Macaca fascicularis: one gene and its partners. The protein of the gene in region 1 purifies or fractionates together with the protein of each later gene. This does not show direct contact. Links are inferred from orthologs where the notes say so. Each region holds a gene or a part of one and is shown in the gene's direction. Other genes may lie near its edges.

What was found.
Region 2: the proteins of GIT1 (region 1) and GRK2 purify together in Homo sapiens (affinity purification with western blotting; 4 studies listed by BioGRID and IntAct, with this or other methods). This does not show direct contact. The link is inferred for Macaca fascicularis from reciprocal best matches to the Homo sapiens genes GIT1 and GRK2.
Region 3: the proteins of GIT1 (region 1) and PAK1 purify together in Homo sapiens (affinity purification with mass spectrometry; 6 studies listed by BioGRID and IntAct, with this or other methods). This does not show direct contact. The link is inferred for Macaca fascicularis from reciprocal best matches to the Homo sapiens genes GIT1 and PAK1.
Region 4: the proteins of GIT1 (region 1) and ARHGEF6 purify together in Homo sapiens (affinity purification with mass spectrometry; 3 studies listed by BioGRID and IntAct, counting the BioPlex papers as one, with this or other methods). This does not show direct contact. The link is inferred for Macaca fascicularis from reciprocal best matches to the Homo sapiens genes GIT1 and ARHGEF6.

The regions. Positions count from the first base shown.
Region 1 is NC_088390.1:35,091,904-35,099,537, reverse strand, and holds the start of GIT1 (ARF GTPase-activating protein GIT1), read left to right. Parts: upstream 1-3,225; 5' UTR 3,226-3,474; coding exon 3,475-3,526; intron 3,527-7,634. UniProt on the Homo sapiens protein: GTPase-activating protein for ADP ribosylation factor family members, including ARF1.
Region 2 is NC_088388.1:7,106,770-7,114,321, reverse strand, and holds the start of GRK2 (beta-adrenergic receptor kinase 1), read left to right. Parts: upstream 1-3,116; 5' UTR 3,117-3,346; coding exon 3,347-3,459; intron 3,460-7,552. UniProt on the Homo sapiens protein: Specifically phosphorylates the agonist-occupied form of the beta-adrenergic and closely related receptors, probably inducing a desensitization of them. Key regulator of LPAR1 signaling.
Region 3 is NC_088388.1:76,356,801-76,364,385, reverse strand, and holds the start of PAK1 (serine/threonine-protein kinase PAK 1), read left to right. Parts: upstream 1-3,690; 5' UTR 3,691-4,476; intron 4,477-5,407; exon of another isoform or gene 5,408-5,614; intron 5,615-7,585. UniProt on the Homo sapiens protein: Protein kinase involved in intracellular signaling pathways downstream of integrins and receptor-type kinases that plays an important role in cytoskeleton dynamics, in cell adhesion, migration, proliferation, apoptosis, mitosis, and in vesicle-mediated transport processes.
Region 4 is NC_088395.1:142,924,921-142,932,428, reverse strand, and holds the start of ARHGEF6 (rho guanine nucleotide exchange factor 6), read left to right. Parts: upstream 1-3,124; 5' UTR 3,125-3,597; coding exon 3,598-3,762; intron 3,763-4,992; coding exon 4,993-5,076; intron 5,077-7,508. UniProt on the Homo sapiens protein: Acts as a RAC1 guanine nucleotide exchange factor (GEF).

The DNA.
Region 1 (7,634 bases):
GAGACGGTGGAGGTGTAATCTTCAGAATTGAGCTTGGGTCCCAGGGGCCTTGAAGAAGGATCCGGATTCCCAGAAGACAGTGACTGATGAGGGGAAACTCCTGAGAAAGATGTGGGGCATCAGTACCAGGGGTCATTGGCGCAGCCAGGGGTCTGGCCCCTGGAACATTTCTGAGGAGTCTTCCCTGCCCTGTTAGAAAATTAAACTCCATCTTTCCACACATGTCATTGGAAACAGAATGTCCAGTAAGGCGGGAAAGACGGTCCTTCCCCCCAGACACACTGTCCCCAGCAAGAACCAGAGTGAAGTTGGACAGAGAAAGCAGCAGGTGGCAGCTTCGCTCCTCCACCCAGCTGGTCCCTCAGGAAGGGAAGTGACTGATTCCAGAGACTGTCTTCTTCCTGAATGACCCCAGGGCGAAGAGGTACTTCCAGAACGGTCCCTGCAGAGGGTGTGGTACAAGTTGAATTGGCCTCTCGGCGCCAATTGCAAGGCCTGGAAGGACCAAGAGGCTTGGACCAGTCCCTGGAGGGAGGGGACTGTGATGTCAGAGAGACCAGAGTTCGAATACCTCCAACTGCCTGACCTTAAAAAAGCAAACTGCTTAATTTTTCCGACTTTCTCGGTCCACTCCCCTTCAAAATGAGACTCTAGATACTACCTCCTGGGTTGAGCTAAGGATAATGACTGCCCTGGAAACAGCGCCTCCCTCCCCAAACCAGGCGGGCCGAGACAGGTGGCGGGACCAGGCACGGTGCCTTCTTGAGCCCACCTCAAAACAAGGCAGGAATAAGGGATTCCACACCGGCCCTACTTAAAACAACAATCCAAGAAGTATTTGTGTGGGAAGTGCCAGCAAAAGCTTGCAAACTCTCTCAGGTTTCTTTGTGTGGTCTTCTCTCCTTCCTCCTCCACACCCTGCGGTGCCAGGCCCCGGCGGGAAGAGATGAGGGAGGAGCGGGCTGCCTCGCCCGTTTCTCCCGCCTGGGAGGAGCCAGCTGGCTTCTCTGGCGGCCCGGGACCGCTGCCCGCCTGCACCACCAGGGGTCAGCAGAGTGTCGTGGCTGCAACTGGTGTAGGGGAGGGGGGCTGTCGCGGGGGAGGGGCATCTAGGAGTGGCCGGGAGCAAGCCAGTGCGTTTCCTTATTAAATTGTCTTTCGAACCTTGTATGTGATTCCACTGTAGCAGTCCTGCTTCCTGGGGTGGTGACATCTCCATGGGGGAATCCAGAAACCCTTTTATCTCCAGTCCCAGGCCCAGAAGTTTGGCTGTGACGGGGCTGGGGGAAACAAAGTTTGGACGGTGTGTCCGCGCCGGGGCCACTCCCAGGTAGCCTCCGAGCCAACCAGGAGATGGGGAGTGGGGCTGCGGGGGGTTGGTAAGCAGAGTGAGTCATCCTTCTTCCCCAGCAAAGCCCAGGAGTCCGAGGGCAGGGGGAGTTGTGGGGAGCTGTCGATTGTGGGGAGCTGTCCCCTGGGCGGCCGGGTTCTTTCTTTGCCAGGCGGCGGTAGACACTGAACCCAGGTCGCTTGCGCTTCGCCTGCGCGCTCAGCTGCCACGTGCTCGAGACGCGCCCACACAGCGGAGAAACAAAGACAGCCAAGCGGCAGGGCTGCCAGCAGCCTCCTCGACATTTAATAAATGAAATTCCATGGCTGGGGGTCCACCGGGGGTGAACGGGAGGCCACCGCTCGTCGACTGAGCGCCCGGCACCGGCTGCCTGGCCACTCCTTCCGTCTCACTCCCCCCGCCCCTTACCCCCTTCCCACTGGGGCCACCAAAGCCCATGGATTCTTTGGTGAGAGAGCAGCTCGGGGCGGCAGGTAGTACTCCTCCCTACATAGCAGCTAGGTATCGTTGCTTGCAAAAGCCCCACCAGCTGAGCGGCTGGCTGTCTGGGGAGGGGAGGCCTGAAAGATTTTTTTAAGGTGCAATTATAAATAAAGCCCATGGATCGCGATTTCAAACAAACTTGTCAATCCGGGCCGCAGCAAAAGGCGATGGAGGCAGCTTTGCATGTATTTCGGGTGGTGTGACTCATGAGAATTACTTGTCTCCCCTAGGGAAGGAGCCTGCCCACCCACAAGTCACTGCCGCTCTGGCACCGCTGGGATAAATCGACCAACTTGAGCACCCCTGCCAAAGGACTGCCCCCATCTGTTACCGAGCAGGAGTCTCTGACTTCGATAACCCCTCCTCAATTGTCACCACTGACCTGGCCCCCAGGTCTGGCCCTGGGGACCTCTGCCCTCTCCCCACAAGCAGAGTGCCCGGGCCTTTTGCTGCTGCAGGGATTGGGGGTTGGGTGCACGCGCGGCACACGTGTATGGGGGAGCATGCTCAGTGCGGGGGCTGTGCTCATGTGAGGCCTCCAACTAGGCTCCCTGCCCCCCAGCCCACCCACGTCCCTCACCTGCCTTGCCTTTGCCTGCCTCTTCGTGTGAAGTCCAGGAAGAAAGGCTGTCACCTGAAACGGCCCCTCTGTGTTATATGCACCCTTTCTGGACGCACACACCTCTGGTGGCCCAGAAACACCGTGTGTATAAGGCGGATGACAAGTGGATTTGAGTGCACACAGGCACAGTGGTCACTCCTTGGGAGGTCTTTAAAAACCGCCCAGATTCCTCTCTGGATGGAAGCATGCATGGAGAGATAGATATATTTTTAGTCCAGAGGCAGGGGAATACACTGCCTGACCTTTCTAGCACCTGGGCGTCCATATTGTTGGCAATGAGCGTATTCAGCAAGAGTGTGACACACGCACACACACCTGGACACACAGATGTGGACACCTACAGGACCGGGAGGCACACCTCACCCCAACCAGAGATAGAAGGGTACCCCAAGGCACAGCCCCTTTGACCTGGAGCGGGACTTGGGCCTCCAAGTCCTTCCTGCCTAATCCCCGCCCTCGCCATCCCTCGGCCCAGCGTCCCCCAGGCCACCCCACGCGGAAAGTGAAGGGGAGGGGGCTGTGAGGGTGACTCACATTGCCTCCGGGCCAGGCGAGCGCCGCAGCGGAGGCCAGGACCGCAGGCCCCGCTGCCCGCCGGGGCCGGGCATTAGCCGCGGCCCCTTTAAGCGCCCCCGCCCCCTCCCGCCCGCGCCCGGGCTTCCTTTCTCCAGGGGGCGCGGCCGGGAGCGCGCGGCGGGGCGGGGGTGCGGCCCCTCCCCTGGTGGGCAGGGCCTGCGCCGCTTCCTGCAGGAGCGGCCCGGAGCCGCGCAGGGGGCGGAGAGAGGAGTCGCGAGCGGCGGCGGGGCGGCGTGGGGCGGAGGGCGCCCGAGGGCGAGCGGGCAGGCGGGCACGGCGGGTTCCGGGCCAGCCCCGGGGCGGACGGTTGGCCGGGCGCGCGGAGCCTCGCCGGGGCCTCGCCGGAGCCGGGCCGGGCAGCAGGGGCCGCCGCCGCCGCCCGGGCCCGCCGCCCGCGCCCCCCACGCTGGCCCAGAGGGCTGCGGCCGCGTCGCCGCTGAGGATGTCCCGAAAGGGGCCGCGAGCGGAGGTGTGTGCGGACTGCAGCGCCCCGGGTAAGCGCGGCGGGGCCGGGGGCGGGACCGCACAGCCAGGCCGCCGCCGGGCGGGCGCCGGGGCCTGGCGAGAGCGCCGTGCGGGGCCGGAGGGCTGGGCTGGGCTGGGCTGGGCGGGGCGGGGGGCTGCGGCCTCCGGGCTCGGCCCCCGCCCCGGCCACTGCGGAGCCGCGTCCTTGGCGGGAGGGCTGTCCTGGGGGGCCCATGCTCCCTGGAGGCCGTGGACGAGCGAAGAAGGACGTTCCCGGCGCTGCCTCCCGCCCCTCGGTCTGAGGGAGGCGGGCAGCTGGCTGCCCCTCCACCTCCATCTCTATCCGACGGAAGCGCCAGCCTGGGGTGGCAGGAGGGCAGTGGCGGAGGCCGGCAGGGCTTGGGAGGTGGGGGCGAGTGTGGTTTTGTGTCATCTCAGTGCCACCCCCGCGTCTTGCACCTGCTGCTCGCGTGGTCGGCACGCCTGCCGGGGTGGTGGAGGGCAAGGAGCAGAGGGCCGGGCAGATGCGCCAGCGGGGCCTGGATACCGTCTCCTCAGGAGCAGATGAGCAGTGGCTACTCCCAGGACTCCCTGCCGCGGGTTCCTAAGGCTAGCGCTTTTTTGCGGGGCCTGGCGTTCAGGGCCAGTTCAGACCCGGGTGTCTTATCGGGAGGCATCACCAGGCCTGCTGGTGGTGACTGGGAACAGCTCGGCTGGACCCTGCTGTTCCTATTCACCGTAAGGCCCGCTTGGGAAAGTGAGCTTGGCATCAAGCTATCCTGGGCCCCGGCCCCTCCCTGTCCCCTAGCCCAGTCTGGCGAGAAATGGGTGGGAGGCACTGCCTAGATTCCCCGCATCCTGCTGGCTTCCTAGCCTGCCTCCTGGCTGTATTTACATGGTGGTTCTCTTCTTTTTCCTAACAGAGTCAGGACTGGGCTGGAGTGAAACCCCCCAGGCCTGCTGAGGAAGTCAGGGGTAATGATCCAAGAGTCTGCTCCCTTCTGATGGGGGAGGACAGCCAGTGACTGGGCTCTGCAGCTGGCCTGGGAGGGAAGCTCTAGCCCCCATCCATTCTTTCTTTAGAAAAGGAGCTATCTCCCTAGTAGGCCCCTGGGCAGGCTTCGGAGGTCTGTGAACTCTAGCGGGGCTGTGGGCATTATTAAGAGTGAGATTATGGGGTGCTGGTTTGTGGGTCCATAACTTTCAGCCACCCCTTGAGCAAGCCCAGGACCCCACAGGTTGAGCCTCACAGATGCTCTGGTGGTTCTGGGGGTGGTGCCAAGCTAGACTGTTTGGGAACTGTGACCCAGCAGGGCTTGGGCACAAGATACTCTCCTCCTTGGGGCTTTTGGTTTAGAGGGCCCTGGGGTTGAGGGTCCATACCCCTAAGAAACTATGACTCCCTTCCCCCAGCTGCAGGCAGGTCTGGGGATGGCAGGGCTGAGGACACACCTTGCCTTATAAATGTCTGCCCACTGTTCCGCACCTCCATGGGGTGAGCATGGCATGCATGTGGAGGAGAGGCTTAGCAGGCACCCTATCGGGGAAGCCTGGGGCATAGTGTTGCCTTTGTTCCCAGCTTACTCTGTAACCCCAAAAAGACTTTCCTCACTGTGGGGGCCTCAGTTTCCTTAATTAGGAGGCAAAGAAATTGGAGTAGAAATGGTTTCTGGGGGGGCTGTGATCTGATTCTGGGGTGGAGGGGTGAAGGGCAGCACCAGCAAGGCAGCAAGGCAGTTGTCCTTTCTCTGTTGCATTGAATGTCATCCAAAGCCTCTGGATGCCCAGTGGGCTCAGGGAGGAATGGTGGGCATCAGATGTGTTGGATTGCCCAGCTCCTACTCCCAGGTCCTCATCCGTCAGAGGAATTTGTGCCCCAGATGACTCTTTTCCCCTGATACACAATAGAGGTCAGGAAGGTGGTGAGAAGGTGAGGATGGTAGGGTGGGGAGGATATGGACAGTCTTACACATCAGCCCACCTAGCACCAGCGAAGTGTCCAGCACATGGCAGGCGCTCCCTGAGTGTCTGGCTTCTTGTCGGGACCCTGGCTGGCTGCTTGGGACTATCCCACACCTGGACCCTAGGATGCTGGCCCTGGCATGCAGCGACGTGTTTGGTCTGGGTCCTGTGGCATCTCAGGCAGAGAGGCATGAGGGTACCCAGCAGTCTGGAGTCCAGATCCAGTGCCAGCCCCATGGTGTATCGCTCCACCCCAGGGTCACAGCCTTCTTTTATTGTGATAGGAGCCCTGCAGTCCCAGCCACAGGAGTGGGGCCAGGGACTTTTTGTGCTTGGTTAATTTGGGGAGTCATGGAGGTCAGAGGTGAGATGCAGCCTGCTCCCAGAGAGCCCCATCCTCCCTCTGCTCCCGGGCCTGGGCACACGGGACAAGTGCGAGTGTGTTGGTAGGCAACTGGACATGGTGTGGCTGCTCTGGCAGCTTGTGCCACCTTGTCAGGCACCGTGTGCATTCCTGCCTGCCTGGGGAGTCCAAGAGAGGAAGGGGGCAGGGAGCCCTGGAGAATGTGCATTTTCCCCTTTCCTTTGCCTTGGCCCACCTTGCCACATGGTCTCAGTCAAGGGCCTCTCCTCACCCCATGGGCTTCTATCTCAGCCTTTTCCACTTTGGCAGCCCTGGGGGTGAGAGTGAAGGCCTCAAGATGCCTGTCCTTTAGGCATCTCTGGTGAGCAAGGCTGGGGACATGTTACAGGACAAGCTGCAGGCTGATTTGTCTCTTCATAGTGTAGATTGCAGAGTGGTACAAATGTTGGGCTCCTCTTCCTGCCTTATTGAGGTAGAACTTGTATGTGTCTGTGCCCGCACCTGAGTGTTCACACTGATGGGCTTTTACATGTGTGTATACCTGTGTAACTACTACTCCGATCATGTTATAGAATAGGGGTATCCAATCTTTTTGCTTCCCTGGGCCAAACTGGAAGAAGAATTTTCTTGGGCCACACCTAAAATGCGCTAACACTAATGATAGCTGATGAGCTAAAACAAGCAAAAAATAAAAATAAAATAAAATTGCACAAAAGTCTCATAATGTTTTGAGAAAATTTATGAATTTGTGTTGGGTCACATTCAAAGCTGCCTTGGGCCGCATATGGCCTGCAGGTTGGACAAGCTTGTTATAGAACATTTCCATCACCTTAGGGAGCTTTCAAGTGCCCCCTCTCAGTCTGTGCAGTCAGAGGTAACCACCATTCTGACTACCCCAAGGACTACTCTTGCTTGCCGTCATGATGTGGGCTTTTCCCTTAGTCTAGTGGGGATCTGGCCCTTAGCTCAGGGGAGGGAGGCCTGAAGCTGGCCTGTATGTGCAAACCTACTGGCCCTGGAGGCCACTGATGGCTTCAGGTGGTGGCAGGAATTCACCATAGTAGAGGCCTCCCTGGGGTTGGCACTGGTTAACGTGATCCCAGGATCACACCTGCTACCTCGCCAGACATACAGACCCGTACCCTGCTGGTGGAGCCAGAAGCCCAGGGGGAGGGCTGACAAGTTCCCTTATAGTTCCTGTCCTTTCCGTCCCAGGTTTGGTCCAAGGAGCCTCTTGAGGCAAGGATCCCTTCACCTTAAACTACAATCTGGGTAGACCCAAGGGCACTTGCACAGAGAGAGGAGAGAGAATGGTTAGGGTGGGCATCGCATCTGTGTCATCCAGAAATGAGATGACACCAGTGTCAGCTGCCCAGACCAGGACAGTGTCCTTTGCCTACCATTCCTCTCAGGTCACCTGGAGGAGAGGCAGAACCCCTCCCCCAGGCTGGGGGAAAGTGCGAGGCAAACCCTTGGACCACGTTCCTGCACCCTGGTCTTGGTTGCTGCCATATCCAGGGTCACTCACCACATCTGGTCTGCCCATGGCTTGGGGCTCTGGAGCGCCTGGCTGTGGATATCTAGTCAACCTTCCCCGCCTGGCTTCTCCGGTAGGACCGTAGACCTCGGGTCAGTCCATTTATGATCCTGCCCTGGGCGGCTCCCCACTTACAGGAAACCCCACCAAGAGGAATTTGGGCTGCATCATTTCCGGCTTCCTGCCTGGGCTGCCGGAGGTGACTGGCTGGCAGCCCCCTGACCCAGTGGTGTTTGGAGTGGGGAGAGGGAGCTCTCCACGCCTGGGGTGCCTC
Region 2 (7,552 bases), on another chromosome or scaffold:
TATACATGGGGGTAGGGGCCAGATGAGGGAAGAGAGGAATCGAGGACAGCTCCTAGATTTTGGGAAAATGGAGGATCCATGCTTGAGATGGGGAGGCGGGAGAGGAGCAGGTTGGACAGGGGCTGGGTAGTGGGAGCAAGAGCTCAGTGTGTGGGCCGCGCTAAGTTTGCAACATCTATTAGTCATCCAGTGGCGATGCCAAGTAATGATGTGTCTGTGGGGCTGCCAGCTGGGCGGAGATGGGGCTCCACTCCACTTTGCACTCCTAGCATCCTGGTCAGGAGCAGTCTAGGCACAGGACAAAGGTTTGTAGAGAGAAGAAATGCCTGACACTGACCTGCAAAGGCAATCGACCTTCCCAGGACCAACAGAGGACAGCACCATCCCCAAAACCAGTCTTCCCCAGGCCTGGGGCTCACACCAACCTCTTCTGAACCTGGGGCTTCCTGAAGTCACTTTTTCTGGGCCCAGGAATCAACGAAGGGAGACCAGCCCCCCTCAAAAGACCCCAGCTTCAGGCCTGGCAGGGGGTGTGGATTGGGCTGTGGGTGGGAGGGACTGAGTCTTTAGGTGGGAGTGGGAAGGTAAGGCCACCTCTTGGAACAGAATGGCTGGCATTTCAGAACGCACACACAGACTCTGGTCTGACAAGTTCATCAGGCAGAAGTTTTTAAATAGAGGTTATTCCCGAAAACCCTGGCTGACATGTGGCTGTGCTCACAGTCCAGAAGAGTCAGGACAGGGCAGTGGGGAGAGGAGGTTAGAGGCTTCATGTTGTGGCATCTGGCCTTGTTCCACTCCAAACCCCATGTGCTCCAACAGCTCATTCACTCATTCATTCACTCCTCAAACATTGACGCCTTTGAGTCAGGTCCTGTGGTGGGCACTGGGAGCAAGGGATGAACTAGGAGCACCAGTGACAGTGGGGGACAGTATGTACTCTTTAAATATATATAACAGCATTTCCAACATCACGATGCATTTTCCAATTGATGCAGATATGTAATGAGACTTCACTCCCCACTCTCAAAACTTGCAATGATGCATCTTGCAATGATGCATCTTGCAACTGAAGATGGAAAATAGGGCCTAGAAGGTGGTAAGTGTAGAACTGGAGATGTACATAGTTGGGGTCAGGGAGTCAGGGAAGACTGCCGGGAGGAGGTGAGTCTTAGCGGATAAGTAGGAGTTGGCCAGGGAGAAAGGTACACAGAAGGGCTTCCAGGCCCAGGAAACAGCAGAGGCACAGAAGTGAGAATGGGTGGGTGAGTTGGTGGGGGAGCTCCAGGTGCAGAGGATGGTAGCAAAACAAACGGGAGCATCCAAGGTCCAAGTCCTCCAAGATCTTGACTTGCAGATTAAGGAGTTTGTTCACCTAACCTGCTTTGGGCAGAGTGGGGTGAGTCCTAGAGACCCCTCTAGGTCTCTCACTCTCAGTAGCCCCAGAAGGCCTGGAGAGCTGCTTCTTGGTGCCAAGCAGGCAGTGACTCCATCAGATCTAGACCTGGGAAAGGCATCTCTGGTCAGGGCCTGCATCAGGGCAGTGGCTGGCCATAGGACCCTGAGAAGTAGACAGATTCAAGGAGATTCTCAGGAGGCCAGACAGGAGACTATAGTGACAAATTAGAGAAGGGGAGAAAATGAAGGAGCAGTTAGGGAAAAGAAACCTGGGGCTCACCACTCACTGAGAGGAGAACCTCACTAGCTCTGATATGCTCTGGTTCCAGGTTCTGTTGGGACTGATCCAAGAAGGTAGCCTAGAAGTGCACAGAGATGGGAGCCTTGCTTTGCAAAAGGATCCTGGTTGCTGGCCCACAACATGGTAATGAGATTTGAGCTCTATGTGCCCAGGGCTGGGAGGAGGGTCCTATCACTTCAAAAGCAAAGAGAGGGTCTAGAGAGGGGCATGTTGAGATAGGACTGCTGCCTTGAGACACCTGGCTTTCCTCACTCTGGGTGGGCTCTCGGGTGGGTTTCCCCTACCAGGCAGCACTGAAACCTCTGTGCCATCCCAGGCTGGGAGAGGTTTCACCCTACATGTGGAACCATCCTGAAGGAGCGTCTAGATGGGATGGGGTACACGGAAGGGAGCTGCCAAGAGTGCTGGCCAGGGACCTGGGTCTACGAGCCTGTTAGGGGGTGGGGTTGGGTGCAGGGTACTTGATCCAGAGTGGGCCTGCAGGGGCCAGGATTGGTTCTAGAGTAGGAGGGGTGGGATCGGGGATGGGGGAAGGCTGTAATTGGACTGTAGTTGTCAGATCCCAGGTTCTGGGTGACCTACTAAGGATTCTGGGTCCAATGTGGGTCCCAGGTTAGATGTCCTAGTCCTGAGTCTGTGTCCACAGTTTTGGGTGTTGAGCCTAGGACAGTGGTCTGGAGTTGATAGTCCAATCTAGGTCTAAGCCCTGACCCCAAGTCTAGGATGCAGGGTCATGGTAGTGGCCTAGGGTCAGAGTCAAGGTTGGGGTCAGTAACCAGGATGAGATCGAGGTCATGGTCCAAAATCTGGATCTGGGGAACTGTTAGGGGTCTGGGGTGAGTGTCACAGTCTGGGTATGGCGTTGGAGACCCAGGGCTGTGATCTGAGGTCATGGTTAGAGTCTGAGGTGGTGGGCAAAGGTTTGAGTCTGGGGTCCTGTTTGGAGTCTGGTGTCAGGTCGTGGACTGCGTCAAAGGTCAGGGAGTCTGGGGTTATAGCCAGGGTCTGAGATGAAAGCCCCGGGATGGTGTTCAGAGGTCTGAATCTGTGTCTTGGTGAGCGTCCAGGTTCCTTGTGATCATGTCTGTTGGCAGGACCACGGCCTGACTGGAGAGCCTGGGATTCAGAGATGTGACCCGAGGTTGTGGTCAAGGAATGGGTCTGGGATCGTCTTCCGTGCCGGGTCCCTGTCTTGTTCCAGGCCCGGGTCTCCGTCCAGACCCCAGGTCACCGCCAGGATCTGAGCCCTCTGTCGCAGGTCTCCGCGCGGCCTCCAGGGGGCACCATCGCCCGCCCGGCTCGGCCACTTGCGGGCTCGCTGGCGCTGTGCGCGGCAGGCGGGGCCGGAGGCGGCGGCGGCTCCGGGGCGCGGGCGCGCGGGCGGCGGCGGCGGCGGCGGCGGCGGCGCCCCGACTGCAGTCCCGGCGGGAGCGGAGCGCGAGCCGGGGCCGGGCCCGAGCCGGCGCCATGGGGCGGCGCCGCCTGTGAGCGGCGGCGAGCGGAGCCGCGGGCGCCGAGCGGGGCCAGGCGGGAGGCGTCGGCGCCCCAGGCCGACCGAGCCGCGGCCGGACCGGGCCGAGCGCCGAGCGAGCGGGAGCGGCGGCGGCGGCGGCGGCGGCGGCGGGAGGAGGCAGCGCCGCCGCCAAGATGGCGGACCTGGAGGCGGTGCTGGCCGACGTGAGCTACCTGATGGCCATGGAGAAGAGCAAGGCCACGCCGGCCGCGCGCGCCAGCAAGAAGATCCTGCTGCCCGAGCCCAGGTGAGGAGAAGTCGCCCGCGGCCCCGGCCCGACCCCGCGGGCACCCCGGCCGCGACTCCGAGACCCTGGCCCCACACTCGACCCCGCGACTTGGACCCCCGGGGCCGGCTCTCGCGACCCTCTGTCGGCCCCCGAGCCCGGAGCAGCCCGGCCGTGGCGCCTGCGGGTCCAGACGCTAAGCCCCAGACCCCGGGCGCCTGAGCCCGGAGCGCCCCAACTCCGGAGCTCCTCTGCCCCTTCGGCCCCCGGGCCCGCTCCGGTCCCGCCGGCCGCCCTGCTGCTTCCTTATCGCGTTCCGCCGGCCCCCCGCTCCAGTCGCTGTCAGCCCCTAGCTCCCGCCTTCTCCCACAGGGGCCCGGCGCGCCCCTTCATCCTCCTCCGAGCAGCCCTTGGTCCCTGTGGGGTCCCTTCCCCTCCGCCGGCCACCATTTACCTCGCCTGACGATGTCACCCACCCTTTTGCTGTCCCTGCTCACGGCACCCGCCTTGGGGTTCCCACTACCCCCACCCGTCTCCCCTCCAATCTACACTTGTGTGAGGTGTGGGGGGACAGCCAGTTTTCCGGACTCTTCTCCCACCCTCTGGTGGAGTCGCTATCCTGTAGTTGGGCTTGAGAGTGCTTTCGGGGCGGCGTGGTGAGCAGGACCTAGGGTGCTGCGGACGCCCTCCCCCTCAGACCGCGCTCAGGTGGGGGAAACATCCCGTGCCCTCTCCCCCACATTCCTTCTCGGGCGTGCACTGCATATGGTGCCCGGTGGGTGCTGTTGACCAGGGGCCCTCCCAGCACACTGGCAACAGCTGGACCTTAGCTGCCGCCCCTGTAAGACAACTGACATCACACCTGGTATCAAAGTTTAGACTGTTCAGGATGTAGGTGCAAAAGTACACAGGATGTGGACGATTGCTGCGGTTTGTCCAGCTCTTTATGGCTGATGGAGTATCTCTCCACTGTGTGAGCCTCTCAGCAGCGAATGGGGTGGCCAGGACAGGTGTGGTTTTGTCCCTGTGGAACAGGTGGAGAAACTGAAGCTCCAGAGGTGAGTGGCCTGCCCCAAGTCACACAGGTAGTCTCAGGTGGCACCTGGCCAACAGATCAGGGCTTCAGACTTCCGGTTCTACATTTCATTGGCTGCCCTGGCTTGCGCCAGGGAGCAGATGTGCCCGCCACGGTCCTTTGTGTCGTGTGGCAACTCCTCGTGCATGCCTGAGAGTTAGCCTCCTGGTGCCCCAGCAGGCTGGGAATGGGGCCTGTCCACACTGCCGTGGTCTTATCTTGTGACTGTGGGCAAGTCCCTTCCCTCACTGGGCCTCAGTCTTCTCGTCTGTGAAATGTGGATGGCGTGAAATAAGAGTTGTGACTCTGTGATGTCCCTCAGCCTTTGAAGTGTCTGTCTAAGCCTGGGCTGACGCTGCAGGGGTGCCATGCCCATGGCCCTCACCGGCCCCCTCTGCCATGCCCTGCTCACTGGGTGTTTGGATTGACTGAACGTCAGGCCGGGGAGAGGAAAATTGGTCTGCATTCGGAAAAGGCCGTTAGGGCCTTTTTTTTCTAAGATATTTGCAATCAGATTTCTCAAAACAGGAACCAGACTGACTGTCAGCTGGGGGCTGTCCAGGGAGCAGTGACGGTTAGTGCAGAAATGAGTTCAGAAATGACAAACCCACGAGGGAGGAAATGGGGGAGTCAGCCTCTAGGGCTCAAAACGGCTCTCCTTGGTGGCCGCAGCTTTGAGACCCTCCTGCAGGATGGAGTTCGGCAATGTGTGAGGTGGGACCTTTTCTGGAACTGTCTGCGTTCGTGTACTTTTCCCCCCAGAATGCATTGCTTCTGATGGGGTGCCGCCTTGGCTCTGCAGGTGTCAGAACCCGGAGAAACGAGATGTTCTTCTTTTCCTGTCCCCTTTCCCATCCACAGCAGTGATGGCGATGATAGCAATAATGATAGGAGTTATTACTGACTTACCTGTTTTGACATCTGTCCTCTCAATTCTTCAACCAACCTGTGAAGCTGGCAAGGCCATGCCTTGCATGTAGTAGTTGCCCAAGAAATACCAGGACTGTGTGACGCCCCAGGCAGTCCTGAGCAGAAACAAGGTTGGATAGGATTCTAGGAGGACAGCAGGAGGCGGAGCCAGGCAGCCCAGGTTTTCACATTGGGTCACCATCAGCAGCATGGCCTTCCGCAAATTGCCCACATCTGTGAAATGGACTGGAGGTGCGAGCGCCGAATGTCAGTGTGCTAAGGCCTGGGAAGGGCTATGGGCCACCCCTACATGGGGGTCCAGGCCTGGGGCATTAGGGAGCAAGCCACCCTTTGCATAATGCCTTGCCTTGCACACCCAGTGGGGCAGAGCGCACCCCCTGCCGCCCCGATGGTGATCCTGACCACGTCTCATGTTTGCCCGACACTTTTCCGTTTGCAGAGTGCTTTTTACTCCATTTTGTCCTTTTGACAACTGTGGGAGGCAGGCCCAGCAGATGGGATTCTCCCCTTTAGCAGTTGAAGTCATTGAGGCTCAGGGAGGGGAGGAGTCGTGTTCTCGTCACAGAAGAAAGCTGGAATGGGGCCTCAGGTTTCTGGACCACACAGGCCAGTGCTGTTTCTCTGCTGTGCTTTATCCCCTCCACCCACCCCTGCACACCACTGTTCTCACCCCTGTCCACATTTTGCGGCGTGGGCTGACTGGCACCGCTTGTCTGGGGCCATTGGCTGTCACAGTTCACAAGGCTCAGCCCCCTTCCTGTTGGCTGGGATGGAGAATTGAGCTGCCCTGGCAAAGCTGCTGCCCCGAGGGGCAGCTCCACTCCAGGGTCCCATCAGATGCAGGAGCCTGTCTTCCCCATACCCCCAAGGTCAAGGTCAGAGTCAGGGAGAGGGGCTGTGGCTTGTCCCCGTGACAGGGTGCCTCTGGGAATTGTTCACACCTTGAGGTGGCCCACCTTGGCAGTCCCTCCATGGCTGGTGCCTGGGGATGTGGCTTGGCCGAGAGCTGGGGCTGGCATCACAGCTCTGAGTTCCAATGGCTAGGGAATGGGAGTGGTTAGGCACAGTGCCACATTGAGTTGGTACAGGGGCCTCCCCTTCTGTCACCCTATAGAATCCGAGGAAACAGTCCCTTTCCCCGACCTTCTTCTAGAAGGAGGCAGCGTAAGGCAGCATTGTGTATCTGGAGGATGGGAGACCTGGCTTCTCCCTCTACCACCAGCCCACATGGGACCCAGGCCAGTCCCTTAGCCTGACTGGGCCTGCCTCGGTTTCCACCTTGGTAAATTTAGGGGGCTGCCCCTTCACTCTCAGGGTCTGTGGTCTGGACCTTGCCCTGAAGGAACTGCCGTCTCCCTTTCCCGGCAGCCAGCAGTCTTGTAATTTTCATCATTTGCTTGATATGACCACTGAGGCCTGGTGTAATTAATCTCTGGGCTCCTAGCTGAGGAGCCCTGCCTGGGCGCTCCCAGGAGGTTCCTCTGCCCTCCCCAGTGACAGTGGCAGCCCCAGCAGCAGATTGTCAGAGCCGGGTGCCTCTTGCAGCCTCCCGATTTCTTGGCTGTTTCCTGGTCCCTCCCCACCGAGAGTTTCCTCCTTCCTGCCCCTTTCTGGCTTCCCTGTCTCCCCAGACCCTGCCCCTGTTCCTCCGCTGCCTCGTTCCTGTTAACTCTTTGCAGCCAGAACTTCCTGCCCTTGATTTGTGGGGGAAGGAGTGCAGCGGGAAGCTTTTTCCCTCCCTCCTTCCTCCACTGCTGCGGCACCAGCTGCAACCCTGCTGCTTCCAGCCTTTGTCCCTTACCCAGAACTTTCCACTTCAGTGGCAGCATTCTCCTGACTCCTTTCCCTGAAAACAAGATGAGCTTTCTTGCAGTCTCTCCCTCTGGGCCTTTGAAGCCCCACCGTTCCCCAGGAATGGGTCTCTGGGATGTGTTTCTCATCTGCTTTCCTTTCCAGAGCATGGGTTTCACTTATTTGCCGTTAAGTCACCCGCCTGCCGTTACCTGGATAAATGGATTTGAAGGGAGTGTGAGCAATGCAGATTGGAATCTGTGCAGGGGAATTTGGGCTGTTAACCCAGAATGAGGTGTCCTATTAATGCACAATCAA
Region 3 (7,585 bases), on another chromosome or scaffold:
CGGGCTTAAGTGATCCTCCCACCTTAGCCTCCTGGGTAGCTGGGACTACAGGTGTGTGCTGCCATGCCTGGCTAATGTTTTGTATTTGGGTTTTATTTTTCTGTAGAGATGGGGTTTTGTCATGTTACCTTGGCTGGTCTCAAACTCCTAGGCTCAAGCGATCTGCCCACTTTGGCCTCCCAAAGTGCTGGGATTACAGGCATGAGCCAAGGCACCTGGTCTGGCCTCTTTTTAATTAATCTTTCTTAAATGTATGTATAAGTCACATTGATGTCAATGTTTGATATTAGAGGTGTTTTGGTCTTTAGAAGTTTGGTGATGTCTTGTGACCAGAAATATGCCACAGGAACTTAACTCTTGTTTATATCAATTAGCCAGCCTATGGTAAAATTGGTTTTGTTATACATTGTTTTGCCTAAAGTGCAGAACCCACTGATGACGCTAAGTGAGGACTTACAGTATACACTTATCTTATTTATTTATTCCATTTCTAGCCCATCTCTGATTTCAGTTGCAGCTTTAGTGGACAGTTTTACTTCTCATCCTGCTAGCATTTCCTAGCATAGAGCAGTCACCTTTGATTAGAGATTGTATTAGTTTCTCATAGATGCTGTAACAAATTATCAAAAACACAGTGGGCTTAAAACAATACACATTTTTTTAAAAAATTTCATTTTTTGAGACGGAGTTTCACTCTTGTCTCCAGGCTTAAGTGCAATGGCGCAATCTCGGCTCATGGCAACCTTCACCTCCTGGGTTCAACTGATTCTCCTACCTCAGCTCCCGAGTAGCTGGGATTACAAGCATGTGCCACCACGCCCAGCTAATTTTGTATTTTTTAGCAGAGATGGAGTTTCACCATGTTGGCCAGGCTGCTTTTGAACTCCTGACCTCAGGTGATCCACCTGCCTCAGCCTCCCAAAGTGCTGGGATTACAGATGTAAGCCACTCTGCCTGGCCAACAATACACATTTATTATTTCACAGTTCTGTAGTTCAGAAGTCCTAAATGGATGTCAGTGGGCTAAAATTAAGGTATCATCGGGATACCGTCTCTTCCTTTCCAGAGGCTCCAAGGGAGGATCCATTTTCTTGCCTTTTTCATTTTTTGGAGTCTGCTCCCAAAAGCTGGGGAGTCCCTTTCCCCAAATCCTTAATTTAGTCACATCTGCAGAGTCCTTTTGTCATGGAAGGTAACATATAGTTCCCAGGGATTGGAATGTAAACATTCCATTGGATGAGCCAATGGAACACTGGATGAGCCATTATTCTGCCTACTGCAGAGATCACGAAAAGACAATCCAGATCAGAGTCAATTTACTGGGTTAGGATCCTGGGTTAAGTTACTTAACCCCTCTGTGCCTCAGTTCACTCATCAATAAGATGGGTGAGGATAACAACAGTATCTACCTTAGAGGGTAGAGGTTTAAAGACAGTGTTTGTAAAGTGCTCAGAACAGTACTTGGCACATAGTAAGCACAATATGAACATTTATTAAATACATTTCTTTTGAGATGGAGTTTCGCTCTTGTCTCCCAGGCTGGAGTGTGGTGGTACAATCTCAGCTCACTACAACCACCGCCTCCTTGGTTTAAGTGATTCTCCTGCCTCAGCCTCCTGAGTAGCTGGGATTACAGGTGCCTGCCACTATGCTCGGCTAATTTTTGTATTTTAGTAGAGATGGGGTTTCTCCCTATTGGCTAGGCTGGTCTCAGACTCCTGACCTCAGGTGATCCGGTTGCCTTGGGCTCCCAAGTGCTGGGATTACAGGTGTGACCTACCACGCCTGCCTTATTAAATATATTTTAACAACGTATTGATTCTTAGTATATGTCAAGCACTGTTTTAGATGCTGAGGATACGGAAAGGCATATGACTTGCTGTCAAGGAACTCAAGAAATCAGATACACAAATGCAGTTACTGCCACAAAAGGCATAGAAATACTATAGGATTACAGTCTTGTTAAGGCTTAGGGAAACTTTAGAAATATTAGTCGAATGAATACGAATATGAATGACATTTGAGCTCAGCTTTGTACAATGAATAGGTGTTGGCCAGTCAGATAAGTAGGGAAGAGCTCACAGACATGAAGAAATGGGTATTCAAATAACGTTAATATTTCAGTGTGCCTGGAGCAAAAAATAAATGGTGTGAGGCAAAGCTAGAAAGGCTAGTGTAGGCAGTCAGGTAGTAAAGTGCCAAGTTCAGGATTTTGAACTTTATCCTGAAAGCAATAAAATCCTTTCGGTGTTTAAACGGGAGGATGTCATCAGATTTGTGCTTTTATAAGGCTGCTCAGGTAACCAGTGGGAAAAACAGATTGAATTTGAAGGGACTAAAGGTTGCTCCAGTTGTTCAGGTGGTGGTACTAGAAGATGACGCAGGCAAGGACTTGAAAAATATTTAGGAGAAGCTACAAGACTTGGTGTCCAACTTGATATGGATGTTGAGAGAGGAAGAATGAGGATCTATTAGTACGTCTAGGTTCCTGGCTTAGGGGATTGCTGAATGGTGGCTCATTCATTGAGAACGGAAAGGAACATAAGCAATTTTGGGGGGGAAATTTCAAAATAAGAATTTTTTTGGGGGGGAGCCAACATTCTAAAGGGCTTGTTACTATTACTATGGTAAAACTGAGGCTTAGGAAGACCTAGTTAAGGTACTACTTATTATTACAGAGAAATGACGGCTTAGAAATGTTAAGGTCCTATCACTAATATTTGAACAGCTAGGATTTCAAGCAAGGCAATCTGATCCCGGACTCTCAGCCTTTCTAATGCTGTCTCAGTTTCGCACATATTGAATCTGAGGTACGACGAGTATGCAGGTAATGCTGCTCGGAAGGTATTGGGAAATACACAATCTGAGCTCAGGAGAAAGCTTTGGATCGAAAGTATCCTCCACGGTAAGAGAAAAAACGTGAAAGGAAGCCCATTCTTTTCCTAAGTGATTCTCCCACCTTAGGTGTGTGCTGCCATGCCTGGCTAATGTTTTGTATTTGGGTTTTATTTTTCTGTAGAGATGGGGTTTTGTCATGTTACCTTGGCTGGTCTCAAACTCCTAGGCTCAAGCGATCTGCCCACTTTGGCCTCCCAAAGTGCTGGGATTACAGGCATGAGCCAAGGCACCTGGTCTGGCCTCTTTTTATTAATCTTTCTTAAATGTATGTATAAGTCACATTGATGTCAATGTTTGATATTAGAGGTGTTTTGGTCTTTAGAAGTTTGGTGATGTCTTGTGACCAGAAATATGCCACAGGAACTTAACTCTTGTTTATATCAATTCACAATCCTATATCAGTTCACAGTAGTTCAAACTTCTCCGTTATAATTTCTTTGTCTTCCTCCCATCCCCGTCCCCTCTCCCACCTCCCACACAAAGAAAACATAATACACGTCTGGCTCTGCGATCACACAACGTCGGATAGTTTTCAACTTCAGCCCTTGACAACGAGTTTATAGATGCGGTGGTGCTTCGTTAACCTGAAGAGGATCCTCAGCCACGGAAGTTAGCCGTCTTTCTCCATCCTGGCTACACCATTAGCCCTCCCAGAAATAGTCCCAAAATTGTCTGGTAGAAATGCTGCACGGAAACTGCCGGCCAAGGACAGCGGACCGAGAAGAGTGACGCGACGCGATGACGTCACGCAGCAGCCGGGTGATTCCCCAGCCTCTGGCGTCACGCGCCGATGACGCAATCCCAGGCGTTCGCCCTTCTGCAGGCCAGGGTTTGGCCTCGCTCCTACGGGTCGGTCAGGCGCTCCCCGCCCCCTCCCACCTGCGGGAGGCGGGGCGGGCACGGCTCCGCCGGAGCCACCGCCGCGCGGGGGAGGGGGAAAGGCCGGGGGGGAGGGAAGGGGGAAAGGGCGGGGGTAAGGGGGAAGAAGGAGGAGGAGGGGAGCCAGTGAACTAGGCGGTCAGGCCCGCCTAGCGGCGTACAATAGCGCAGTTGTAGGCGGGGGAGGCGGCCCTGCCGCGGCTGCAGCCGGAGCCGAAGGTGGCGGCTGCACAGTAGACGCCCCCTCACGGCTTCCCCCACACGCTCCCGCCCCCTCGTTCGCCTATTGCGCCTCCCTCGCAGGCTCCGCCGTCCTCCTCCATAGACGCTTTCCCCCTCGGACTCTTATTCCCTTTTTCACGGAGCCCCGCGCTCTCGTGAGCCCCCTCGAAGAACCTGGTCTCCGCATCCAGTTCCCATCTCCTGCCTCAGAGGCCATCCGAGCTCTTCGCACCTCGCCCCTCAGCCCCCCACCGTTGCCCCCGCCCCGCGTCGTCTCGCTCCCTGCCGCCCCCCCATCATCCCTTCCCTCGCAGTTCCCCTGTCCTGAGGGGATCCCCGGCACTGGCGGCGCGGCGGCGGCAGGAGGGAGAAAGTGAAGCGGTAGCTCGCACACACTCGCGCCCTCACTCCCGGCTCGGCGGCACCCACCATCGGGAGGAGGAGGAGGAGCCGAGAGGAGCTGAGCGAGCGCGGAAGGTGAGAGCGGGCCTCCCGCCCGGTACCCCTCGCGTCCCGGGCTGCCAGGGTTGGGGCGCGGGGGTGGGGACGGGTGGAGTAGGGGTCTGGGCCCATTTATCTCGCGTGGCGGGGCCGGGCGCTTGGGCCGGCGGAGGCGCCAGGTAAGGTGAGGCGGGCGTCGCCCAGCGAGGCCCGCTCCCGTCGGGCCAACAAAGGCCCCCCGTGCGCTCACCGGCGGGGTCGCGGGTCTCAGACGCCGGGCGATCGAGAGACCCGGGAGAGGGAAGGGGCGGGGCGGGGCCAGGCCAGGCTGGGGCCGGGAGCCCCCACGGGTACCGGTCCGGGACCGAGTCCCTTCCGAACTTTGCAGTCCTGCAGAGCTCACCCTGTCCCACTACGAGGAGGCACAGCAAAGCGGCGCCCCAGTTCCTTCTGCATGGAATAAATGATCCCTTCTAGGCTTGGACAGTCACCTTTAGGGTTTTACTCCCTGAAAAATAAGGGCTGGTAGGACTTGACTTACGCAGCCCCTCCCCCACCGCGGAATATTCTGTAACTTGGGAAGTGAAAAACAACCGGGAAAGGAGATTTATAGTTATTTTATGTTCATTAATCCATTTGAAAAGACATGATTGTTGTAGTCTTCGCTATCCTATTTCAACAATACACATTACTGGGAATGTTTTGGAAGAATACTTGAGAAGTAGTGGGTTGTGAGCAACGTCCTTGGTTTTTAAACCCCTTGGATAATTGTTCTACTCTTACAAAAACTGAACAGTGAAGGGAAGGGTTAGTTCTGTGGTTACTAATAAAAATTCAATTCGTTAGTCTTGACTTTAAGAATTGTTCTTGAGAAAAATCTTTAATTTTGCCTCCTACATTTGTGGGTTCTCTTTCAACTCTGTCAGGAGAAAGTAGGAATTATCAGTACAGATACCTCATCTCTTACCTTGTGGCTTCATCTACTTCTTGTGTGACCTTGAGCAGGTCACTTCCAGCCTTAAAAGCTCCAGAAGTTTGGTTTTATGCCCCAAAACGGGCAGGTAGCAAGCACCAACTCAGCTTTCAAGAGTCCACTGAAGAATTCCCACACTGTGAAATCTTTGCTGGCCTCCATCCTGTCCCTCCTCTCAGACAGAACTGACTTTTTCCCATTGGCCCGGTGAGATTTCTACCACAGCACTTATAACATTTTGGTTCCTATTTGGAAAATTCTAAATCACGTGGGTAGAACCCCCACCCCCCCCCCAACTAGCAACTATGCCTTTCAAAAAGGGTTTTGGGAACATTGACGCTGAAAACTTCCCATACTTTCCCTGAAGTTTATCCATACGCTTAACTACATGAACTCATGTGTCTGCCTTGGTGAATTTGCTAATTCAGTCAATTCATTTATCCAACATTACTGGAGTTTGGAGAGCTACTATGTTTCAGGCCTCTTGCTAAGGCTATGGGGATTCAGTCTATTAAGATATTCCCGGTCTTCAAAGAGCTCAAAGTCTAATGGGTGAGGTAGACAAGTAAACAATGAAGGTCTGCCCTAATCTCTGGGGGACTCCAGTTGTACAGGTAGTAGTGTGCAATAATTGAGGCTGCTGGACCTGTTTTACAAGTCTTCTCTTGGCCAAAGTGAGTCCTGCAGGGAAGGTGACCTGCCTCATCCATAAGAGGGCATTTGGTAAAAAGCTTGTTCAGTTCAATTCAATATACATTTACTAAGCGCATGTTTTGAGTCCCAGTGCTAGGTTTGAAGGAAGCAGTGCCTCAAAGGAAGGTACTGTGCATCCAGAAAGATTTCCGTGAAACAAAACCTTACCACATCAATGCCCCCTACCCCTGACTCTTCATATTCTGAAGATAAATTTCAGACTAACATGGAATAAGAAACTCTCAGGCATCAGACCACTGCCTGCCTTTGCAGCCTCACTTTCTGTGGCTCCCCTGCCACTCTCATCTTCGCTTTTGCATGTTCTGTTTTCTTCCTGGATGCTTCCCTTCCACCCTTTACCTGCCTGTGGAGGTGTCCTTGTTGGGCCTTTGCGATGCAGTCCCTTAGTCTCTCCTTTTCCTGCGTAGAATGAGTTGCTCTTCCATCCTCTGGCTCATACACATACCACTCTTATGGTCTTCTATAGCACTCTATTGTAATTACTTGAGTTTGTGCCTTTTTTCGGTAGCCTGTGAATTTCTTTAATAAGCCCTTTAAATGATTCTGATGCTTGCTAAAGTTTGAGAACCACAGGGTTAAAAGATCTGCTCTTGATAAAAACAAGCACCCTGCCAGCTCCCGCTGTCCCGTTTTTCTTCCATAGCACTCACTGCTTGACATCATCCCATCCCATCCCATCCCATCCCACCCCACCCCACTCTTGCCAATAGAATGAAAGCTTCCTGAGACTGGGAAGTTTTGTCAGTTTGGTCATTGCTTTAATCCTAGTGCCTAGAATAGTGACTGCATATAGCAGGCGCTCAAGTATTTGTTGAATGACTAATATAAGATGATTTAATCCTATGTATTGCTAGCTGCTACATTGGGGTTTTACTAAAGAACAGTTCTCAGAATGAATAGGAATCATGGTCCAATATGCGAATCCAAGGGGATCCTCACATTTTTGGGGGATTCATTTTAGGTTGAGCTTTTCCCTTCTGCATCTATGTGTCTCCAGCCAAAGCCTGCAAGAATTTTAGCCCAGTCTTTTGTTTGTTTTAACCACCACCTGAAAACTGCTGTTGCAATATCCCAAGCCAGGATTGTTTCCTGGGAATTTGCAACTTGGTTTTGCAAGTCTAAATGAGCACTCTTAACTTTTGAGTCTTTTAACTTAAAACTGTCTCTTCCTGGTCTCCTGTGGTTTTTGTCTTTCTCTAGTGCTCTATAGGGTCTGTTTGACTCCACACAAAGGTTTCCCTTCCTTGTGAAGCTCTTAAAATGCTTTGTTTCTTTCACTTTCTTATTAGCCCTAAGATACCATGCCCAGTTTTCTCCTTTCCTAGCTTCCTTCTGCGAGAGTGACTTCATTTATTCATCCATTTACTATAAAATTATGAGTCCTCCTCTACCATGTGCCAGACCCTGTGCTGGGCAGGATGTTCAGCTATATACAAGAGTGCAGCCCAAGTCTTTAAG
Region 4 (7,508 bases), on another chromosome or scaffold:
ATCTGTATCAGAATCAAGTGGGATACTTTGAAAACACAGATTCCTTTATCCCACTGCAGATCTTCTGAACTAGAGTATCTGGGAAGAGAGCTCACAAATATTATTTTTAAATAAGTGCCTTAGTAGATTTGAAATGAAAGAGAATCGGTTAGTAACATTTTAAACACATGAAACTAAATAGTAAAACAGGTACCAGTGTACCCAGCATTCAGTCTTAATAAATGTTCACATTTGCCTTATTTCCTGAAGATCTTTTGATTTTTCATGAAATGTTACCTATTTTAGCTTACGTTCTACGCCTCACAGGAGATGATCATATGAACATTGTTTTCTGTCAATCACTGCTTTAGGCAATAGAGAGCCTTTGAGGGTTTTTGAACAGGGGTATTAACACTAGAGGTGTTTTTGGAAAATCAACCCAAATGTGCCTTGTTAGAGAGTTCATTAGGATGAGAAGATGGAAGTGGGAAAGCCCTTGAAGAGGCAGGTTCAGTGGCCCAGACGGTGTGGTACCGAGGTTCTGAGGTAGGGTGAGAGATCTTTGCTTTTTTTTTCTCATGCTCTTGTGTGAAGCCTGCTCTTTGTGTTGCTGTGACCCCAGTCTTTGGATTCCCCCTCTCCCCACATTCCCTCAGTTCTTCAGCTCCTTCCTATCTTCATTTGAGTCCCTAACCAGCCTGGGTTTCATGGGTACCCATTTCACCTATATGCTTGCCACTGCCCTGGAATTCCTAGATTTGTTGACATTTTAGCACACCAACTGTAACTTCCAATCTTTATACAAATAGAACTGGTTCTTTTGCCTTGAGGCAGTGGCCTTGCCATTCTGATATACTTTATGACTCATAGTAATATTTGCTGTAGTGAGTGTCCAAAACGAGGCCGAGTTTTATCCAGATGACCTTGGTGAACTCAAGCCTGTTTTGGAGGAGGCTGGGTTCACAAAATTTACTCAGGCTTTGTTCTTCATCAGAAGATGTAAGTGATACCTCAATAATACTGCCAGATTTTGTTTGTCTGTAGAGTAAAATTTTGATGAGCAATTGTGAAAACTGTTCAAATGACATATAAAAATGTGTTTAAGTTCGTCAGATTTGGGAATTTTATTTATCAACAAATGGATTATGTTTTTATTTCCATTACATAGATTTGGCCATGGGTCAACATCAATGAGAACTTTTGATTAACTATACTTATTTTGCTTAAGTCACAAGTACATCAAACAAACCTTGTTATAGAACTATGGACAGACACAATAATATGAATGAGTCTGAAAATGATGATGTTGAGTTAAAGAAGCCAGGAAAAAGATAGTACCATACTGTGTACTTCCATTTATATAAGATTCTTGAAAATGCAAACTAATCTATAGACACTGAAAATAGATTGGTGGTTGCCTGGGATTTGGAGGCAAAGGGGAAAGAAAGAATTGAAAGGGCACAAGGAAGATTTTGGGGGTGATGGAAAGGTTTATCTGGATTGCATTTGTGTGATTGTATCAAAGATGTATGTATATGTCAAAATTCATTAAATCATATATATGCAGTTCCTTATGTGTCAGTTACAGCTTAATAAAATGGTAAAAATCATTAACGAGAAAAAATATTTGTTTTAAGTCATTTAAACTAACCAACAAACAAAAAATCCTTGCTATAATCAGCTACTGTCTATATCAGGGACGCCATCTGAATACATTCATTCATTTATTCATTCATTCATTCAACATTTTTTTTTTTTTTGAGACGGAGTCTCGCTCTGTCGCCCAGGCTGGAGTGCACTGGCCGGATCTCAGCTCACTACAAGCTCCGCCTCCCGGGTTTACGCCATTCTCCTGCCTCAGCCTCCCGAGTAGCTGGGACTACAGGCGCCCGCCACCTCGCCCGGCTAACTTTTTGTATTTTTTTTAGTAGAGACGGGGTTTCACCGTGTCAGCCAGGATGGTCTCGATCTCCTGACCTCGTGATCCGCCTGTCTCGGCCTCCCAAAGTGCTGGGATTACAGGCTTGAGCCACCGCGCCCGGCCTCAACATTTTTTAACATCTACCATGTATACCTGGCAGTCTGCTGGTAACACAGTGTTAAATAAAACAAACAAGACCCCGAGTTTAGGAAGCTTACATTCTGGTGGAGGAGTCAGATCATCATATCAACAAGTGATAATAGTGAAGTGTGACAAGTGTCCTGACAGAGCAAGAAAGGGCAGCTTTGAAAATGTTTAGTAGGGTTATCTAAGCTGATTCTTTGGTAGTAGATGCCTGAAGCTGTGTTGAAAAGAATTCTGAGGCTTAGCAGGAAAGAGCTATAAATGATCTGATGTCTCCCATGCTTGAGGAGAGGTGATGATGGTAAGTGCCACACATTTGCCAACATAGAGTTATACTATTAAAGTTGGCCTTATCATACATTTCCCAATAGTATGCCTATTTCAAGTGGTTCTGAAAATGTTTGAGAATGATGAAGATCTCTTGTTATAGACTTTTTTTTTTTTTTTTTTTTTTTTTTTTTTCAGAGCAGTATTTTGAGTGCAAAGTGTTTTTTTGTTGGGGAAATATGAATCTTCCACATTGTAGTGTAGATAGAGGACAAGTGCTCTTTTGTTCTCAAACATTCTATTTTTTCAAATGTATTTTACCCACTTATGTGACTGAGTCTGAGCCTTTGCTTAGGGTACTGCAGCTGGATTATGTAGTGGAACCAGGTCCAGAAAAAGAATTGCTAAAGAATGCAAGTAAACAGGATGTCAGATGTTATCCTTAGCCTATTTCCCTAAACATAGCTTTTTGGCTGCAAAGTAAAATGCCATTCTTCTAGCTTCTGCTTATACACAGTGATGGCTGGCAGCAGGCACAATCTTCGTTTGCTTGGCACGTTGTCACCATGCAACTCAACGTGTTTTGCAAGGAATCATCGTGACACACCATCTCTGGGAGATAGTATGAGGACATCCGGTTATTTCTTGGAAGAATTTTCTGCCTACCTTCTTTGAGCCCTGTTGTGCCAGCGTATCTCCCCATGAGGCTCAGATCTGTCTGACCTAAGAGCCAGTTGGCATCGTCCTCCTAACAGAAGCCAGATTTTCACTGGGGCTAGACTATTTATTGACAGTGTTTTCCCAGACTGGCCCATGAGTGTCTCATTTCCAAGGTCCCCTGAAGTGCTGGCTCACCTCTGTTTCCCAAAGCACTTGCTTGCTTGTCTCTCCTCCCTCCCCAGCATCCTTCTCACTTTCTTCCCTTATAACTTCTCGCACTCTGTGTGCGTGTGTGTGTGTATGCGTGTGTGCATGTGTTTTTCTTCTTCTTTTTTTATCCTAATGAGTTTGTTTTACAGGTTTTGAAAAGGAAAAACCAGTGTTATCCAGGATTGTTAGGTTAATTCTTATCTGTTTCCACGTCTTGGACCGTGATCTCTGTGGTTTTAAAATCCTGTATTTTGAGTGGGTTCCGCTGTTGTTTGAGAAAAGTTGCTTTAAACCTTTGCTCTACAAGCACCCGAAGAGAACTCATAAAAAGGAAGACAACAGCAGATGCAATCGCGGATGTGGCTTAGTCCTTGCAGCTGCCCCAGAGTGCTGTTTGGAGTGTACTGTCCTCAGTAATGAATCCAGAAGAACAAATCGTGACATGGCTTATATCTTTGGGAGTTTTAGATTCCCCTAAAAAGACCATCTGTGATCCGGAGGAGTTTTTAAAGTCCTCGCTGAAAAATGGGGTAGTTCTGTGCAAACTGATCAACAGACTCATGCCCGGCTCTGTGGAAAAGGTAAGGGAAATTTGTAGTCTCTTTGGGATTGCTTATCACCAGAGAGTAGCAATCATATAACTCTTGAGATTTTTCTATTTCCCAGGCCGTGGGAGTCTCCTACTTTAATATTTTTCTAAGAGTTAGACATTTTTTCTTACTGTTTTTGTAGTTTGAAAATGTAAGAAAATGAAATGTTGTTCTTTAGTAATTGGCCCCCAAATTGTAGTATAGGGAAAACCTGTGACACTACTGGCAATAGGGGACAAGGAGAACACTCATATCACAAGCTTGCTCTATCGTGGAGATGCATGTTACATCTCCTTGTGTACCGAGGACATGTTTTGAACTTGGGGTACTTATGAGTCTGTGGAAAAATAGAATGATTTATAACAGATCTTGGTGGTGTTTTTTGGCAGTTTGACTAAAATCAGTGTAGATTTCGTTTTACAAAAATCCATTGAAGGAGAGACTATATAGCAACTAAGAGTAATAATTCAAAATGTCACATAAAGTTTGTAAAAGCAATAGAAACCAGATATATGTTTCGAATGCAATGTGCGTTCAAAGTGAAACTAACTTTACTCTCTTTAAAACAATTCAAGATTTTTAATAGCTGGAAACCCATGATCACAAGAATAGATAATTTCTTAAGTAGGCACTTTAAGTAGCTTAAAGGTACAATTTTACATTTACTTTCTTAAGGTCATCATGGACTGTGAGTATATCACTTTTGCCTGCATGGACCAGTTTGTATTTTTATTGAGCAAATAAATTTACTTATAGTTTCTTAAACTTGAGAAAGAGTGATTACATAGTGATAAAATGTAAAGAAATGGGATCAAATGTAGAGAACAGCCAAGGGGAAATATAATTTTATTAAATTATCAGGGGGAAGCGAGGAAAGAGAGAGGTACCAGGGATTGCTTCCTTTCTTGAAAGCAAGAACTAAGCTAAAAAAACTGTCTTGGTCTCCCTAATTTGCCATCAGCACACTGGAATAGAAGGCATGAGAGAAAGCTTGTAAGTAGACATGACTTGCCACTAAAGGTTTGGTGACATTTGAAACAAAGATCGACCGTTTAGATTTTTGCATCACTTCCTTCAGTGGTTATTTCTCTTCCTGGATTGACAGCAGTGTTGCCCCATACCTTAAGAAGCCTGCTTTCTCTAGTTATCAGCAAATGATGAATATACTTTGCTTGGCATGGGATGACAATCTCCAAGTGACATTTCACTGTGTTCCTCTAGTTTTGTCTAGATCCCCAAACTGAAGCTGACTGCATCAACAACATCAATGACTTTCTGAAAGGATGTGCAACCCTCCAAGTGGAAGTAAGCCTACCCCGGGTGCCTTCCCTGTTGTTATTGTTTTTTTTGCTCTGCTAATCAAGATTGGTAGTAAAAGTACTTGGTTTATTTTCACTGTCATTGGCCACTGAGTTAAACAGAGGTAGCAGACTGGTGGTCCCCAGTAATGGATTGCTAGTCTGTCTTTTCCAGAAACCAGTTCCAAGCAAAACAAAACAAAATCAAAACTCAAACAATGATGTCTTTTATATACAGCATCCAAGCCCTGTAAACAGGCTTCCAGTGACAGAGCTTGTGTGGGTGTGTTCCCCTACTAAGGGGGAACCAAAAGCAGGCCACTGACTGTTGGAGAGGGTCACTGTAATCCTCCCAAGTTGAGAAAAGAGGAAAGGCCATTGTTACTCCTTCCCATTAACACTTTAGAACAGAGGCCTTGAAAAGCTGAGAGAACTTGGCTCTGAGGTAGAAATTGTGTAGTAAATTTTGTTGCATTATTTTATATTATATGGATCCCTACAGTGTGTATAGGAAGTGTTGCTGAAAGGGAGTTGATACTTCCACATGTGCATCAAGTTGCTTAACTTCACTGTGCTTCATTATTTTTATCTGTAAAATGGATATGCTAATAGCCAACTCATGGGATTGCTTTAAGAATCAAATAAGGCTGGGCATGGTGGCTCATGCCTTTAATCCTAGGCCAAGGCAGAAGGATTGCTATAGCCCAGGAGTTCGAGACCAGCCTGGACAGTATGGTGAAATGGTGACTCTACAAAAAATACAAAAATTAGCCAGGCATGGTGGCGTGTGCCTGTAGTCCCAGCTACTCGGGAGGCTGAGGTGGGATGATCGCTTGAACCCGAGAGGCGGAGGTTGCAGTGAGCTGTGATCTCACCACTGCACTCTAGTCTGAGTGACAGAAAGAGACCCTGTCTCAAAAAAAAAAAAAAAAAAAGAATCAAATAAGATACTGTGTAATAATTTAGGGCCAAGAGCTCCAACCTCATAAGATCTATGAGATAATTTATGTACAGTCCTTAACATAGGGCCTTGGGACAGAAGTAGTACTCTATATTAATAGATTAGCTTTAGTCATATTATCTGTGGACAAATAGTTGTGGTTTAAGCATTGACTCTAGTGCTAAACTTCTTGGGTTCAAATCTCAGTTCTCTCTTACTAGCAGCTTTGTGACCTTGGGCATGTTACTTAACTATGACTCTAGGCCTCAGTCTCCCGACCTACAAAATGGGAATAATAGTGGCACCTAACTCTTAGGATTAGTGTGACCTTTTGTAAAAATATTATTTCAATAGTTTGGGGGGAACAGGTAGGTGGTGTTTGGTTACATGGATAAGTTACTTAGTGGTGATTTCTGAGATTTTGGTGCATCCATCACTTGAGCAGTGTACACTGTACCCAATGTAGAGTCTTTTATCCCTCACCCCACTCCCACCCTTCCCCCTGAGTCCCCAGAGTCCATCATATCATTCTTAGGCTTTTGCATCCTCATAGCTTAGCTCCCCTTATAAGTGATAACATATGTTGTTTGGTTTTCCATTCCTGAGTTACTTCCCTTAGAATAATGGTCTCCACCTCCATCCAGCTTGTTACGAATGCCATTATTTTGTTCCTTCTTATGGCTGAGTAGTATTCCATGGTGTGTGTGTGTGTGTGTGTGTGTGTGTGTGTGTGTGTGTATGTGTGTGTATGTATATATATATTACCTTTCCTTTATCCACTTGTTGGCTGATGGGCATTTAGGCTGGGTCCATAACTTTGCAATTACAAATTGTGCTGCTATAAATATGTGTGTGCAAGTGTCTTTTTCATATAATGACTTCTTTTCCTCTGGGTAGATGCTCAGTAGTAGGATTGCTGGATCAAATGGTAGTTCTACTTTTACTTCTTTAAGGAATCTTCATACTTAAGGTTTTCCATAGTGGTTGTACTAGTTTACATTTCCACCTGCAGTGTAGAATTGTTTCCTTTTCACCACATTCATGCCAACATCTAATATTTTTTAGTTTTTTAATTGTGGCCATTTCTGCAGGAGTGAGGTGATATCTCCTTGTGGTTTTGATTTGCATTTCTGATGCTTAGTGATGTTGAGCATTTTTTCATATGTTTCTTGGCCATTTGTATATGTTCTTTGAGAACTGTCTATTCATGTCTTAGCCCACTTTTTGATGGGATTATTATTATTATTATTATATTTTGAGACTGAGTCTCACTCTGTTGCCCAAGCTGGAGTGCAGTGGTGTGATCTTGGCTCACTGCAACCTCCACCTCCCCAGTTCCAGCGATTCTCCTGCCTCAGCCTCCTGAGTAGCTGGGATCACAAGCGCCCGCCACCACATCTGGCTAATTTTTGTGTTGTTAGTAGAGACAGGGTTTCACCATGTTGGCCAGGCTGGTCTCAAACTCCTGACCTCAGGTGATCCACCCATCTCGGTCTCCC